3 linked regions of the Oryctolagus cuniculus genome follow. The protein of the gene in region 1 interacts with the protein of each later gene in a biochemical or structural test. Links are inferred from orthologs where the notes say so. Each region holds a gene or a part of one and is shown on either strand. Other genes may lie near its edges.

Region 1 (5,932 bases):
TTAACATGCGCAATACCACTCTTAGCAGGCGGGGCACATAAGCAGATTCTCTGTTCTCAGACAAGGTGGCTGGCTTTGAAAGGAGCTCTCAGTTGGTTTGTAACAAGGTGTGCACTGGAGAAGAGGACACTCCCTTCAGGGCACACCCCCTGCTCAGCTTTTGCCTGCTGCTTCTGCTGTAGCCACTACATGTGCTTTAAAGCTGGAGACTGGCTTAGTAGGGCTGCAGTGGTTATGTTTACTGACTCCAGGCCTGGGTTCTAGGTCTGAGTGGAACTTATTCCTGGGGGTTGTAGACACAGTTGGCAAAGAGGAGGTGAGGAGTTTGGTGCTCCTGGGTGCCTCCGTTGCTGATTGACGCTGAGAGCAGAGCCTGCTACCAGGGCTCCTCGTCCTGCTTCCGGCCCCTTCTCCAGCCCCCCTGCCCTTGCAGGCTGTGTCCTGGGGTGGCTGGGGCGGCTGCTCTCCCCACCTCTCCTGACATTCTGTCCTCAGCCAGGCTGGGGAAAGCATCCTGTCCCTAAACCACAGCAGCTCATTCGAGGAAGGAAGGCTTCCTCTAGCGCTGGTCTTGAATGGTGTCTTTTTACCCATCCCCTCACACGCCCCCACTTTAATTCCCTCTCAGTGATAAAATGTTGACTAGAAAACCTGAAAGGAATGGAGAATCAGAAAAACAAAACAAAAAAAGCCATAATCCCTGTGCTGAGCTCTGCTGTGTCACGCCTGTCATGTCATTTATCTGTTACACAGCTCCATCATTTCTTAAGCATCTTCAACCTGGTGGATGTTTTAATTACAAGTGAGAGCATACCATGTAACCCACCTGCGCTCCCTGTCCGTGTTGCATCCTGGGTTGTTAAAAGCCTTCAAGTATTTATGAACTGTAATTTCTTGAACCACTTCTCTCGCAGTAGACTCAGACTGTTTCTGGTTTTGTGTGTCCGTGAACCACTGCCTGTATTAAGTAGCTCATGGTCGATTTTGCCAGAGAGAGCGAGCCTAGGGAGGCAGAGCTGGCGAGGGGAGGGCCGGAGTATTTACAGCATGTATTTTTTGGTCTTTGGAATTTTGAACCGTGTCTTACCCATTCAAAACAAGGAAATAAAACGTCAGACACGTGAACATGCATCATAAATAGTGAAGACGCCAAATAATGTTAGTTTTTAATTAGCATAGTAAGATAAATGCTGATGTTAAGAAATGTCAAAATCTTCCCTAATCAGCTTTCAGCGGCAACTGACCGGATTTGCTCACTTGAAGAAGAGCAGCAGCAGTTAAGAGAACAAAATGAATTGATCCGTGAAAGAAGTGAGAAGAGTGTGGAGGTGAGAGCCTGGCCTCGCAGCCAGGCGGCCTGTCTTTCTCTCAGATACACCCGGTGCCAGTCTTGAGCTCAGTAGCCCTTGAGGGATTGGTTCCTGGGTCCCTGGGGATACCAAAATCTGTACATGGTCCCGTCCTTGTATACAGTGGCATAGCAAAGGCATGGAACCAAGGAAATCCTTATCTACTCTAAGTCGGCTGTAGGGATGGGCCTTTGCCCTCGCCTTTAGGATGCCCACAGCCCACGTTGCATTCCCTAGGTTTAATTCCTGGCTCTGGCTCCTGACTGCAGCTTCCTGCTAATGCAGTAATGGTTCAGTTGACTTGGCTTTCTTCCTTGCACATGAGAGAGCAGGACTGAGTTCCCAGTGCCCATATTTGGCCCCAGCGGGGGGCCATTTCAGATATTTGGGGAGTGGACGGGAGCCAGCTCTGTGAATCTGCATCTCAATAAATAAATAAATAATGTTTTAAAATCATCTCTAGGTTACTTATAATACCTTATATAATTAAATGTATGTGAGTGGTTGTTAAGTTGTACTATTTAGAGAATAATGACAAGTAAATTATGCATATTCATTTGTTTTCCCTGAATGTTTTCAATTTGTGGTTGGTTGAATCCACAAATGTAAAACCTGTGCAGACACAGCAGGTCAGCTGTAGTACAGTACTGACTCAGTGCTCATAACATGTGAGGGGCCTAGCCCACGTCCCTCTTGGTCTATGTGGACGCCTCCACTCTGGACCTCTGCAAGCCACACTTCCTGTTCACTTTTCAACATCTGCTCACATGCAGACTCCTGTACCACCACCCTCGGCACGGTGGTGGGCCTAGGCATCCCCTCTCCCATGTTCCCGTAGCTCTTTTACCTCCCTCCGGTACAGAACCCGGTTACTGTTTGTAGAATTCCTGGCTTGCAGCTAAGTCTCAGCATGTCTGAGTTCCCTCTAAATCCTCCCAGGGCTAGATCAAAGTACGGTCAGTAAACACTAAGTGACCCATTAGGAGAAGGCCTTTCCCACTAAGGACTATTATTCTGTCATAAAGAACATCAGCTCTAAGTGACTGTGAACGTGACCAGGACCTTTCAAGCATCTCTTGGCTGCTCTCATCCTTTATCTCCAAGTTCAAATATTGTCAAGATTTTATATCTCTGTCATGCTTAAAAATAGAAATTATCTCTCTTTTTAAAAAATGTTGGTCTGTTTTTAAAATACTTTGTAGCTAGCTTTTGGAAGCAAACGGTTGCTCTGGGTATTGTTTGATACAGATGACAAAACAAGATACCAGAGTGGAGCTGGAGACCTACAAGCAGACCCGGCAAGGCCTGGATGAAATGTACAGCGACGTGTGGAAGCAGCTCAAGGAGGAGAAGCGGATCCGACTGGTGAGCGGAGGTGGCGGGTCTGGGGGGCGCTGCGGGAGCCCGCGGCCCTGTGCCGTGGGGAGGCGGGAGCTGCCCATTCTCCGTGGGAAGCCCTGTGTGTTTACGGCTCAGTGCTGCGTTGTCACTCAGACACCTTTTCCCCCATTCTGCAGTCCTGTTTTCAGGGGTTGCCTTGACCAGACTCGTGGTTTCTGTGACAGAACTGTTCCCTCAGTCCGAGCCCTAGGTCCGCGTATTTCCACGCACTGTGTGTCTGCGACCAAGGTTCTTTACTACACATACTTCTCACACCTGCATGGTGCGGGAAGTGTGTCCTGAGCTGTCCAGGACAAACGGTTGCACTCTGGTGCCATCACCTAGCAACCGTCCCAGAAGTTCTACCATCGCGAAACAGCCAGTTGCTGCCAGCACCGAAGCCCACGACAGACATCCTTGTACACCGTGGGGAGAATGTGGGTGCTGGAGCTCTAGGCAGCCAGTGCCACTGAGCAGCTCTGTCAGCTTGACCATGGACTGTGCCATCTAACTGTGCTACAGACTCTTGTCCATCTCCCCAGCTGTCCTGACTTGTGGTTTGTCTTTGAGACGTTGCCCACCATACAACCTCAAGTAATACCCTGCTGTGGTTTAACATCTTCCTTGTAAATATCCTCTTAAGGAACTAGAAAAAGAACTGGAATTACAAATAGGAATGAAAACGGAGATGGAAATTGCAATGAAGTTACTGGAGAAGGATACCCACGAGAAGCAGGACACCCTCGTCGCCCTCCGCCAGCAACTGGAAGAAGTCAAAGCAATTAATTTACAGATGTTTCACAAAGTTCAGGTGGGAGCTGGCTCCGTGTCTTCCCTGCTGCTTTCTATAGCCTTTAAAAAAAGAAAAGATTTATTTTGAAAATGTTAGAGAGAAAGGAAGAGACAGACATCTTCCATCCACTGGTTCACTCCCCAGATGGCCACAGTGGCTAAGGCTGGGCCAGGCCGAAGCCAGGAGCTAGGAGTTTCATCTGGGTCTTCCACATGGGTGCAGGGGTTCCAAGCACTTGGGCCATCTTGCACTGTCTTTCTCTGGCCGTTAGCAGGGAACTGGATCAGAAGTGGAGGAGCCGGAACTGGAATCGGCACCTGTATGGTATGCCAGCATCGCAGGCAGCGGCTTTACCTGCTATGCCACAGTGCCTGCCCCTCTACAGTCCTGCTTCACTCTTCCTGCCACGTGAGTGGCCCAGCACATCTGTGCACCTCTAGTATGTCAGGCCTGGTCTCGGCCCTCTGGCATGTCATGAGTGAAAGACACTCACGGCATCAAAACTGGTGACGCTTCCTTACCCAGAGGCCACTCGGGGCACCATCCTGCGTCCTTCTCAAGCTTGTCCTTGAAGTTCTGCTTCCTGTTTCATTCCCAAAACATTCCCAAAATGCTGCATTTTCCATGGACGTAGGCTGACTCTCACCAAAGATGGCATGAGGGCAGACAGTGTAATAAACCGGGTTCAGTTTGACTTGACTTGAATGATAATCAGTATTATACCAGCAACAAAGAAAATTTAAATACCACAAGGGGGAAAGGAGGAGCAGGTTTCCCCTCATGACAAATCGTCTACGTGAAGTGCTCCTGGTTTCCTCTGCTTGGAGCCCGTATGTAAACGTGCTGTTAGTTAGGGTAAGCTACGCCGCCGTTGTGACTTAGCAGACCGGCTACAGAAGGGAAGCCTGCGTCTCCGTGACTGAGTAGTTGCACGGAAGTACTCAGTGTCACTCCTCACAGCCATTCAGCTACCTAGGCAGCTCTCGCTCTCCCATTCTTCCCACTGGAGAGGGAGAAACACAGGAGTCCAGAGCCAGAGCGTGCTCCCAGCGGCGCAGTGAGAGAGGGGTCGCACACACCACTTCCCATCCCCATCCGTCCCACGGGCAGTAGTTCCTCACCTAACTCCTGCGACAATGCACTTGCCTCAGTTATAGTCTCTGGACAGTTCTCCAGCCTGGTCTTGTTTTTACCTTTGTTTGAAAAGCAGGGAGGGCCGGCACCGCGGCTCACTAGGCTAATCCTCTGCCTGCAGCGCCGGCACACCGAATTCTAGTCCCGGTTGGGGCGCCAGTTCTGTCCCGGCTGCTCCTCTTCCAGTCCAGCTCTCTGCTGTGGCCAGGGAGTGCAGTGGAGGATGGCCCAAGTGCTTGGGCCCTGCACCCGCATGGGAGACCAGCAGGAAGCACCTGGCTCCTGGCTTCAGATCGGCGCAGCACACTGGCCACAACACACCGGCCACTGAGGGGTGAACCAACGGAAAAGGAAGACCTTTCTCTCTCTCTCTCTCTCACTGTCTAACTCTGCCTGTCAAAAAATAAAAAGAAAAGCAGGGAGAGAGAGAGATTTCTCATCTACTGGTTCACTTCCCACATGCCCCTGTTAGCTGAGGCTGAGCTAGTCCACAGCCAGAGGCAGCAACTCAGTCCCTGTCTCCCATGTGGTTTACTGGAGCCATCACCTGCTGCCGCCCAGGGTGTGCATTAGCAGGAAAACGGGAGTCTGCAGTGGAGTGAGGCTCCGAACCCAGACACTCTGATATGGGAAGTGGGTGTCCTAACTGATTTCCCCTGGGCCAACTGCTTGCCCCCGGTCTGTTTTCTCAGCTCAGCGGTTTTTGGAAATAGGTTGTTTAGTTGGCAGATATGAGGTGGTTTTGAAGCTATTCTCTACTGTAGTGTATTCTATTATAGTGTATCTCCTTAAGGTCGGTTGCTACATCCTTTCATTGTAAGCGCCCAGGAATAGAGAGCTCCCTCCTGGGCACTTGGTGTCTGGTCTGGCTAAAGGCCTGGACTCAGAGAGTCGTACAGGCGTGGACGGGAACAATCACGCCCCCGCGAGCTTTCTACCTGCAGCCCATTGCTTCCTCTTCCTGGGCCTCCATCTGTCCTAGGGAGGTGAGGTGTCCTAGGGTGAGGCTGACAGCGCCTCCCTGGAGAATCCTGCAGGGGCTTAGTTGCATGGGCCTGGCAGCTGGGGACAGTTGGGGACCTGACTCAAGGCCCTTGTCAAGGAGCAGCAAAGGTCGTACCTTCCTCTTTGCCTTTCTTTCTGTTGGCAGCTGGGAGCTGTCGCTCCCCCTCTTTGCGGAGGAACGACACTAGACCCTGCGCTGTTCTTTTATCTGCTCGGCCCTTCCCGGGTTAGCTGCCGTTCCCTCATTCATGGAGGAATGACGCCGTCCAGG
Region 2 (5,932 bases), on another chromosome or scaffold:
GGTCCTAGAGACTGAGAAGTCATTACCGAATGCTGGTCATTTGCTTTTACCATTACGGTAACTTTTGTAGGCAGAAGGCAATAAATATACAGGAAATACGTGAAATGCAGTCTAAATGTGCAGTGAAAACAATCAGAAATTCTACATGTCCTAAAGTATTTCCATTTAATCTGGAAATGCAGAGAGATGTCTTAGACTCAAAGAGGTGCACATCACCAAAGCCAGTGCTGGAAAGGCCAGGAGAGGTAAAAGCGTCACTTGCCATTTTCCTGGGCGAACCTGGAGGCTTCCAGGAAGGTGACCTCGCGCTCGGCATCCAGGTCCCTCTTGTTCCCGCACAGGATGATCACGATGCTCTGGCTCGCTAGCATTCTGGCATCTGTTAACCAATTAGTAAGCGCATTGTAGGTTTCTCGGCTGCGTAACATAAGATTGCGAGAATAATACAAGTATTTTATGAAACTAGCAACTCTTTCCAGTCACTCTCACCGCTCACGCCACTCTTCAACATTGCAGAGAAATGGCAACAATCCCTTGATGGTAACTCAGACAACCTGAACGCGCCGGGTAGGTGCCATCTCTCTATCACTTTGACCCGGCACCTTGGGCATCTGCTGGTTTGGTCTGCCCAGTCACGCTGGGAGAGGACACAAGTTCTTCCCTTTGGTTTACAGACACTCACTGAGCACTTAGCATGTGCAAGGCACAGCAAGATTTCATCTCAGCTTGGTAGGGTTGTCCAAAATCACACGGCGGCCAATGGCAAGTCCAGGACTCGACCAGGTCTGTCCCACTCTGCCCGCCTCCCTCAGAGCGTACCGGAGCGGGGAGTGGCTGGGTGACACCATCCCACCCCACAGGTTCCTAACAAAGGGACTCCCAAATGACAGCCTTTAGGTTCCTTGTACTTCGAAGGCAATGCTTGCAAACACAGAGACCAGTGTTGTGGGATGGGATGTCTTCAGGGACAGGAATGCTCTAGCGTCAGCACAGTTGGATGCATAGTGACCAGCCACATGTGGCTTCTGAGGCCAAGGAATGTGGCCAGTGCCACCAGGGAACTGAATAAATTTTCCATTGAATTACCCTACGTGGCTAGCAGCTACCACGTGAGTACTATTATCTAATTTAAACCTCCCCTAAACCCCAGTGGCTCACAAGGCTCTCACCGCCCCATTTTGGACAAGGAAGCTGAGATCCACATAGCTGAAGTGCCTTGCCTGTGGCGTTCACACAGCTGGAGAGTGGCACTGGGACCAGGAGCCAAGCACCCTGAGCCCAAGGCTGAGTCTCCCCTCTCTGTCAGGTCACTTGCGGTGACTGGCCACCCAGACAGCTGCATGCCAAGTGTCCTAGTGTCATGGCACAAAACACCATGAAACAGGAAGCGCAGCTCTCCCTATCCAGCACCTTGCAGACGTGGTGAAGCAGCGGGAGGGGCTGGTCCCAAAGGGAAGGGGCTGGTCCCAAAGGGAAGGGGCTCCCTGGATGCCGGCCACACTGCACGGGGGGAACCTTGCCAGGACCGGCCTCCTCCTGAGGATGGCGGGCGTCATTACCTGGTGATGTCGTAGACCAGCAGAGCCCCGGCCGCGCCTCTGTAGTAGCTCCTCGTCACCGACCTGAAACAATCACACGGTTTCACTTTCAACCAGCTGGGCCTCTCCCGTGGGGGAAAAAGAAAAACAAACCCTACTTCTGTTTTCTAAAACCACAGTTCAAACAGGACCGACTCAGAGAGCCCTGCATGTGCGTGCGAGGAGTTACTCAGTCTGAAATCCTGTCCCAGAAATGACAGGGGTTGGAATGGGGGGCGGGACAAGGAGCACGGTCCAATCAAGGGCCGGCTCTGAGTGGAGGAGGGGGAGGTGCCAGCAGGTGGAAGGCAGCCCCCTCCACCTCTTCCTGGGGTAAGAAGGGAACCCGGCATCCAGTGCCCGTTGCCCTGGGCTCAACTTCATTCCCCTTCCCGTGACTAAAAGAGAACACTGCTTCACCCGCCTCAGTGCCTGCACCCCTCTCTCTCTGCTGGAGTGAAACAAGACCGGCTCTGCCACTTCCCATCTAAAAAAGAAAAAAGCAGAACAGCCTTGCAGCTCCTGTCCACGGTCAGCCCTCCCCACGCCCCGATTTCTCGGGAGTTTTCTTCCCTGCTGCTTCTCCAGCCCAGCCTGATGGGCGCCCAGCTAGGTGCCTCCGAGGAGCGGAAGCCAGTGGGCATTTCTGTGCTCCCAGCCCAGTCCCGGCTCAGTCTGGCTGGGGCCTGGGTTTCCTATTCTACTAACCATTGAGTGAAAAATTTTCTCTGTACCTCAGACTACTTCCGTAAGATCCAGCTGTGGCTCTCTACGTCACACTTGCCATCTGTGAGACACAACTCTCTCTCTCTAGCCCACTCTGGCCCAGGCCTGGGAAGGGGCAGCACCACCTCACCTACCCAGTGTCTAAGGCAAGTCATCCGCACACCTATCTATCTACCCGCCACCCCTGGGTGCCCCTGCACACTCGCCTGTCAGCTGAGTCCTATTTCTCACACTTGACACGGACTGTGTGAAGATCTGTCCCAATCGCACCAGCACCACACACACACACACGGAGAGCCACATGGACAGCCGTGTGCCCACATGCAGACGAGACAGTGTGGGTCAGGGGCTTCTCCCTCCAGACCACCTGGAGAATTTCCTCGGAGGAGGCACAGGTGCTCCAATCCTTTTCTTTTCCCTATCTTTTCACACATTCTTTTTGCTAATTTTGCTTTTGTGTGCCTTGCATTAAACCAATTAATTCAGGAACTATCTTTGCCTCACTCAGTTTGTCGCTCAATAAAAAGATAAAAAGGACTTGCAACTCTTGGAAAAATTATAGTTTTTGAGGCTGAATTTGTCCCCAGGTACTGGGGGAGCTGGACACCCCGCTAGCCCAGCAGGTCAAGCTGAGACCCTGTGTGAACTCAGAGACTGCGCCTCCCACCTTGCATGGTACAAACACTTCAGCTTCTTCGTGGAGCCCAGCGCTTCCTGTCCTGGCCTTTTCTGGGACTCAGTGGTTTGGGTGGGGTTCTGAGAAGGGGATGACGGGATGGCATCTACCACGGTAATCAGTGCTTCCAGAGGCAGCTGGTGGTTAAAGACCGGGACAGTGTTTGTGAAGCATTTAATATTATCCAATGTGGCTTGGATGAACCGTTTGCAGTGGGGGTGAGTTTCACCCCTCTGAATCTTGAAACTATGCTATCTGCTCTATTTTGTCTCAGTGTGTCTGTGCAAAAAACAACCAAAACATGAATCGATTTTCTTGGTTTACTGACTGCAGAACAGGAAGCCGTGGCCTCATCGTGCAGTGAGCCGAAGTCCTCATTCTAGACGTGCGTCACGCCTGTAGCACAGCAAAAGAGAGGCTGTCTTGTGGGATGGGTATCAACCATGGGACTACGTCTGGCTAATAAACAAACAGAATTGTCACAAGAGGTTTCAGAAAGAGTCCTCTGTGGAAGGGAATGCAGACAATAGCCTGAGCTGCTGCCTTGCCTCGCCTGTCATCGAAGAGCACTCTACACAATGCAGAGCACCACGTCCTCCCGAGGGTGGTCTGCCTTTGAGCCACCAGGCAGTCACTCGGAGATTCTGCTGCACTCCTCAGCAAACCAGTGCTGCACAGAGCTCAGCTGAATTCCCGCTGTCTCGTCTGCGACAGCTTCCAGAAGGGACATTTCTGAAATCAATGTGAGAGAGTGTGTGGGTGTGTGTGCGTGTGCACACACGTGCACGTGGCGGGGAGGGGCTGTGCAGTGTGGGAGGGGGCAGAGAAGAGGGTATCGGTGGGGTGAGACCCCATACACTGAGAGAAAATAATTAGTGATTTAAAATCCAATTTTCAAGTATTTTTATTAAATTAGAGAAACAGCTACCTGAATCGTTCTTGTCCTGCAGTATCCCATATCTGTAACTTTACATATTTACCACCAACATTTATTATCTTTGAACCAAATTCCACTCCTATTGTATGATTTGAGTCATCTTTGACTAAAAAAGAAAAACAAAGACAGTGATATTTAACTTTAGAGCATTAACATTAACAGGCTTAAGGATTTATATAAGTAACAATGAAATCACTGGAAAATGGAATTTACGACAGCCGTTCCTTTCTCCAGCTGTCGGCAGGCAAGACGCATTCATGGTTTAAACAGAGCACACGCAGTCCCTAACCTCAGACTCTTTAAACACATCACACCTCAAAGCCTCGGCCTGGAAGTGGCCGTGCCACGTCCAGACCCAACTGTTACCGTTAGGGAACTCACCGACGCCCACTGCCCTGTCAGTGGACTCTAAGCCCACTGACAGGCAGGGCATTTGGCAAATAATGGGGTGATGACGGTTTCAACTATCTGAATAGATAATATTCCAAAGCAATAAAACATAAACGGAAGGAAAAGTACTGAAGCCTACAAGGAAACACGATAGATACCAAGATTATGAGAAAAGAAGGAAAGAAATGAAGGCCCCAAACTCTCCAAACAGACCCCCAAAACACCACCCTGTGCATCTACAGGTGCTGAGTTTTCGTGCTGTAGGACAACGGTCTGTGTGGGAGACAGGCAGGGTAAGGGTTTCATGGAGCCCCACTGGCATGCACTGTCTCTGAGAGTCTCCTGTGATGGTGGCGGGATAAGCTACGCTCACACCACAGCTACTGACTAGTTGGCATTTTATACCTACAGAATACAATGGAATTGTCCTGGGAATGGGGCTGCCCTTGGCAATCGTACGCTGCTTCCTGAGGTGTGGGAGACCCAATGGTATGCAGACTGTCAGTCTGTCTCACACACAGCTGGCAGAGAACCCGCTAGAATAAGCTACCAGGCAACACCTGTGGCGAAAGGGGCATCCTCATTACGACACGGCCATGAGAAATGAAGTGCCGCCTCTCACGCCACCATGGGTGGGGAGGATTCAGGGGAGGATACTCCAGAGGAGGCCCCTCCAGGGGAGGCCGAGGTGGACAGACTGCCCCCCCAAGTCTGGTCCCTGGCCTAATTTCCTCTGGGCATTTTCAGAGCCGCTACAATGCAAAGTCCTGGTATACTTGGAAAGAAAGGTGGACTGGCTGGTGCACGGTGCCTGCTGAATTTGGGAGGACGGGTTCTGTGACTAACACAGGCTCGGTCCCTGTCATTCAGCGGACGCACCAACAAGCTCTCGGTTGATAAGGGGAGCAGCAGAATAAACTACACAAACTTCACCTCTTGACTCACCGCTTGAGCTATTTCCCGCACTTGCTTCAGATGTGCCTTGCTAAGTCATACTAATTCTGCTTTTCAGTCTTCACCCAATGGCCACTACACTCCACAATTCTTTCCATTATGTAGCAGCACTGGTTATTTGAAGGGCCTTTCAAACCTGCAGTCTTTGTACAATCTTCCCAGGGTGCCCTTACCCAGACGGTGCTCACAAATGACCAAAGACTGGCTCTGTGGTCAAGATGGCGCCAATTACCAGGGGACAAGCTCCTTTCCACCTGCCTCCTGGCTTGTGAAACAGACCCCATGACAGTAACCACCTTAACCATAGGACGAGGACGCGGTGTGGACCAAATGCTGTTACTTGATCCACTCTGGACTCTACGGTTCCTCTGGCCGTGCTATCAGGCCTCTGCTGTCCTCAACATCACTTTAACTCTTAGCATCTGAAAAATGTATGGTAGGAGTAACCACGAATTGGGTCGCTATTAAATTGAAATGCTAACTTAAGAAAAACTCACATTACCAAAAGTTTCAACACGTAACCTGTGACATTTAAGAGTACTTTTAAACAATGAGTTTTCTTTCCTGAAAAAAATTCCCAAGTTTTATTCTAAACAAATCTGAGTGAGACTCTCAGAAGACATGCGCAGAGCACCAGCTGTGGATATCACTTACATTTTTTTTCAATGAACT
Region 3 (5,121 bases), on another chromosome or scaffold:
ACTGTACAAACTGGTAATTTTATACTGTTCCAATGCCAGTAATCAATTTATTTTCTTCATTAAAATAATATACAAAGAACGTATTGTTAGTTCGGTTCCTTCGAATTTTATACATATTTACTTTCTGTTAAAGAGAAAGGATAAAATAATGTAAAAAAAGGATAAAGCTATTAATTAAGCACAAGAGAAAAAGATAAATGAATATTTTTCCCCGTGCAAGGCTAAGACAGAAGCAAACCTCATCAAGAAAAATACCACCCACACAACAGGGAATTTATCCAACAAAAACAAAACAGAAGCAGTTACTGAACCCCTTCTCTGCCATCAGCAGTCACTTCACAGCGATAAACTTATTGGTTACACCAGACATACTTGAACAGTTCAAGATGGGGAGAAGGCTTAAGATATCATCAAATTAAACCATACAGTAAGACGAAGCCTTGCCAAAAAGGGAGGGTCGAAATCATTGAAGTCCAGCATCAGTGCTCAGTTTAAATCATATTGGTGACAGAGCTATCACAAGGACAATCAAGGGGGAAAAAGTCTAGATTCACCATGCAGGAGAGATTTATTACTCTACTTGCCTTTGATAACCTGATTACATCTAGTTGTTTAGCAGTTTAGTATTGTGTTAAACTGTTTTTACAACAGAGTTTTGTTTTGTTTTTTAATTAAACCCAGTAAGATGTACAGAAGACAACGAGGCAGTAAAAAGTACTGCTTCCAACAGACAGAGGTGAAAGGTCAAATGAGAGGCCAGAGCAAAGAGGTCACTAGCAGCCACAGCCTTCTCTCTGGGGTTGGGGCTCACTGGTTAGCCGGCCTCCCTGCGGGGCTGAGGGTTTGTGTTGTACACCGGACTCGGCAGCATTCAGATCCAGGCTTCCGTCCTGAATGTTCTGATAGATTTTCTTGGCAGCCTCCAGGAAAGCATCTTCTACATTCTCTCCCCTAAGAGGCAAGTGACAACTTTATTCGAGAACCACTGCTTTCTACTAAAATAAGACTTTATACACTGCCCTTTTGCTAACCTTTAGTCAAGTGCCATGGTGTCTTCAATTTAGCCACTGTCTGGTAAGAGATTACCAGAAGCCTGAGCTAAGAGAACAACATGGGAAAATATTTCCTGTGGAAAACACATAAGCATCGTTCTAAGAGCTATTCTGCAGACCTCTAGCTGGATAGGCGTATGTGCTCTAGTCATTACAATACTATTTGTTACTAGATGACAGGACAGCTGAGATTAGAGAAATGGAATCTGTACATGCTGAACAGGATTCTGGGATCTGCAGGATCTGATCAGCCAAACGTGAACTGTGCTGTTTGTATGTAATGGTGACATGTTCACACTGAGCACTGTGCACACTTCAGTTCTCTTAGAGATCACACTACAGATAATGCTAAACAAAAAAAGCCAAGCCTCTCACTACCACTGCAAGGAATCGGAGGTCTGATAACTGAAGATCAATGACTGGAATAATGTAGAACTGGAGTTCCACAGCTGACATGGAAAAACAATTCATCATGCTTTTGATCAGACACTAAGTATTTCCCTAAGTCATGCTTTTCAACGGGATCTCTGAGGTAAAATACTACCAGCAAGTTGGCCAAGCTTGGGTCTGAGATGCCAAACCAGCTCGGTTGTGAAAGTCAAACACTTCTGGAATGTAAACATGGTCTCACTGATTAACCTGGTTTTACCAATGGCATAATCAAGGTCCAATATTACAAGTAGAAAAACTCAGTATTATTTTGAAATACGAAACAGGAAGTAGAAATGTCTGCTCAATATTTTTCTTGCCACAGCACTGCACATTTATGTATTATACAGTAAATGAACAATTATATTATATACTTTGATAAACATGGTTTTACACTCAGAAGCTAAAATATAACTGAAACATCTGTATTTTAGCCATACTTACGTTTTTGCACTTGCTTCAAGGAACAATAAGCCTAAAAATAAAATTCAGACTATAATGAGGACACTTCAAACTCACCAGGGCATTCTCTTCAGTAACATCTGACCAGAAGCTGCCTATCTATCAGCTATCAATACTCTCACTAACACGGCATTTTATGAAAGAGGGAGTATAAGGGGGCAGCATCATTATCTGTCATTAATTGTACTACTCCTGATATGAATCTCACAGAAATACATTTCTTCATTCTTGAGATTTTTTCCATTTTTTAAAAAAACTGTCAATCTGCAATAACAAAATCCCACCTTTCCTTAGCAATTCTCCCAAATGTGACCATTAAGTCTTAAAGGAAACCCACCGTTTTCTTCAGCAAACTGTTTGGCTTCTTCATATGTAACATCTCTCTGTGCTTCCAAGTCTGCTTTATTTCCTATGAGAATTATTACCTAATTTGTGATCAAAAGAAAGACATCTTAAAACAAAGCAACCATTTAAGTCAATCATTCAAATTGTGAAATCTAAAATTCTGGACAGAAAACCACCTGGGCCTTTTTAAATGTAAAACAAGTCTGGGGGTACTTCAAAAACTTCAAGGGAAAATGGAATTAAAAATTAAATATTTTAATGCAAAAAATTTTTTTAGATCCATCAGTTTATTCCATTAACTTTTTGAAAGCAATTACCCACCAGGAAGGACTACAGAACCATAAAGTCATTAAGTACTAAGAAGAACCTAGACAACCCTCCATGCAAAGAGGTGACAAACTTTCTGTAAAGAGCAGAGTCTATTTTTCAGGTTGGTGGGCCCCACAGTCTCTTTGCATATCCTTCTTGGCTGTATTTTTGGGGTTTTTATTCTTTAAAAACATAAAAATCATCCTTACTTAGCAAGCCATTCAAAAACCGTCTGGGGGCCAGATAATAAAGCTTCATCTTATATAGGCCAAAAAGTATGACTTATCTAAGGAAGATTACTAGGGGTCTATGACCAAGCTCCAGGGGATCTGTGACTGCCCTGAAGTGAAGTGCAAAATGCTTTATAAACATGGACATCCCCCGGGGGAAAAGGTTCATGGGTTCCACCCGATTTTCAAAAGGTTCTGGGAAGCTCCGAAAATTTTAAGAACTACCTAAAGTACTGGGGAGGAAATGACAGCTCAAAGGCACAGCAACATCCTAAAGGCCTCTTACTAAGCTGGTGGTAGGAGGACTTTTCCTAGTTCGGCAGAAACCTAAATGGTGGCCTCAGAGAAATGCTGTGCTACCCCACAGCTTCCATAGGCAGGACCAAGTTTGTAGCAACTGGTAACAAATGCCTGCGTGTATCAGGGAAAGGGAAACTACTAGGGGTAGAAGATGGGGACCTTATAGGATGAGTTCAAATCCAAGACAAAATAACACATACCTGTGTCTACTCTGGAATCATCTCTACAGGGAAGACAGGCTAAAGTTAAGGGAAGCTCTGCAAAGTTCTAAGGAAAAAGCAAGTAACCTTGGGAAACACTCAGATACTTCCCTCCTCTCCAACTCCTTATGAATTTACTAGGGGCTGGGGGTAGGCTGTACACTTTACATAGAGACATCCAGCACATGTACTTGTTTTGACAACTGGTAATACTTCCCCTTCCGGATACAGGAATCCAGATATAGACACTTTAGGAAAGGATAGCTTCAACTAAAAGGTACTTTCCCATTAATGTTTTTTTTTTCATATGAAAAAATGGCTCGGCCGGCGCCACGGTTCACTATGCTAATCCTCCACCTTGCGGCGCCGGCACACCGGGTTCTAGTCCCGGTCGGGGCGCCGGATTCTGTCCCGGGTGCCCCTCTTCCAGGCCAGCTCTCTGCCATGGCCCGGGAGTGCAGTACTTGGGCCTTGCACCCCATGGGAGACCAGGATAAGTACCTGGCTCCTGCCATCGGATCAGCGCGGTGCGCCGGCCACAGCGCGCCAGCCACGGCAGCCATTGGAGGGTGAACCAACGGCAAAGGAAGACCTTTTTCTCTGTCTCGCTCTCTCACTGTCCACTCTGCCTGTCAAAAAAAAAAAAAAAAAAAAAAAAAAGGCTCTTCCATTTTTGTCCAATTAACCAAACAACCATTTTGATCTGAATGTAAACCTTTTGCAAGGAGATCAGTTAGGTAGTACAAGTGAATACTCTTCAACTAGCATGTAGAAATGTCCACTAAGAAGAGAAAGAATGTTCATATTATAGTCTACTAGTCTTTTAAAAAATAAAGAAATGACAATTAAAGAAGTAATCAATTTTTTTAAAAGCCTGGTAAAGTTAACAATAGTACAGGGTCATTATGGCACGGGACTCAAAACAAGAAATACTGCTTCCTTTCCAAATTCCTTATGAATTTCTATACTGGGCATCCTATCTCCTGAAAGGAGAGACATAAAATTACATGCTAGCAACACAGAGGTACAGAAGACATTGACAACATGAGAAAGCACACAGCTTCTACACAGAAAGCCAAAGCAACTCTACAGAAAACCTAACCGCTTGTGCAGGACCTTAAAGAAAGGATTTTCTGGGTTTTCCTTCTGAGGATTACAAAGGGCAAAATGAGGCAGGAGGACACAGTGAATTTTTTTTACTATATTCCATGGAACATCTACGGTCAGTTTTTTGTTTTTAACATTTTATTTGAACAATCGTAGACTCATGGAAGCTTACAAAAAATACAGAGGTCATATAACCTGACCAATAGCAGCAACTTAAATGTAGAGCACTCTCAAATCCAGGAAATGGACATGTGTACAAACTACAGCTCTTACAAAGATTTCACAGTTTTTACACACTCGCATACATGTGCTCCTGTGTAGCTCTATTCAATTTTATCATAGGTACAGATTTGTGTTACCACAATTGAGATACTGAAATGTCCCATCACTACAAAGGAATTGCTCTGTGGCACTCTCATCACAGTCACACCACTCCAACCCTCTATCCCTATTACTAACCCCTGGCAACCACTAATCTCTATCCTCTCTCCTGTTCTCATCTCTACAATTCCATCATATTGAAAATATTCTATAAATGGAATCACAGAGTAGGTAACCTTTTGAAATTGGCTTTTCATATGCAGCACAATGGCTCCGAGATCCATATAGTTTCCATGTTATCAATAATTCATCCCTACGAATTGCTGAGTAGTATTCCACAGTGTGAATATATCAGACTGTTCAACC

What was found. The genes of interacting proteins can lie anywhere in the genome.
Region 2: the proteins of RUFY1 (region 1) and RAB4A form a complex in vitro, tested with the Homo sapiens proteins (2 studies listed by BioGRID). The link is inferred for Oryctolagus cuniculus from reciprocal best matches to the Homo sapiens genes RUFY1 and RAB4A.
Region 3: the proteins of RUFY1 (region 1) and RAB14 form a complex in vitro, tested with the Homo sapiens proteins (2 studies listed by BioGRID). The link is inferred for Oryctolagus cuniculus from reciprocal best matches to the Homo sapiens genes RUFY1 and RAB14.

What each region holds. Positions count from the first base shown.
Region 1 is NC_091437.1:67,899,032-67,904,963, reverse strand, and holds part of RUFY1 (RUN and FYVE domain-containing protein 1), read left to right. Parts: intron 1-1,226; coding exon 1,227-1,328; intron 1,329-2,597; coding exon 2,598-2,714; intron 2,715-3,372; coding exon 3,373-3,540; intron 3,541-5,932. UniProt on the Homo sapiens protein: Activating adapter involved in cargo sorting from early/recycling endosomes. Regulates retrieval of proteins from endosomes to the trans-Golgi network through interaction with the dynein-dynactin complex.
Region 2 is NC_091444.1:90,077,988-90,083,919, reverse strand, and holds part of RAB4A (ras-related protein Rab-4A), read right to left. Parts: coding exon 5,915-5,932; intron 4,023-5,914; coding exon 3,908-4,022; intron 1,623-3,907; coding exon 1,560-1,622; intron 418-1,559; coding exon 263-417; intron 1-262. UniProt on the Homo sapiens protein: The small GTPases Rab are key regulators of intracellular membrane trafficking, from the formation of transport vesicles to their fusion with membranes.
Region 3 is NC_091432.1:225,175,031-225,180,151, forward strand, and holds part of RAB14 (ras-related protein Rab-14), read right to left. Parts: intron 2,369-5,121; coding exon 2,281-2,368; intron 1,957-2,280; coding exon 1,926-1,956; intron 952-1,925; coding exon 774-951; 3' UTR 1-773.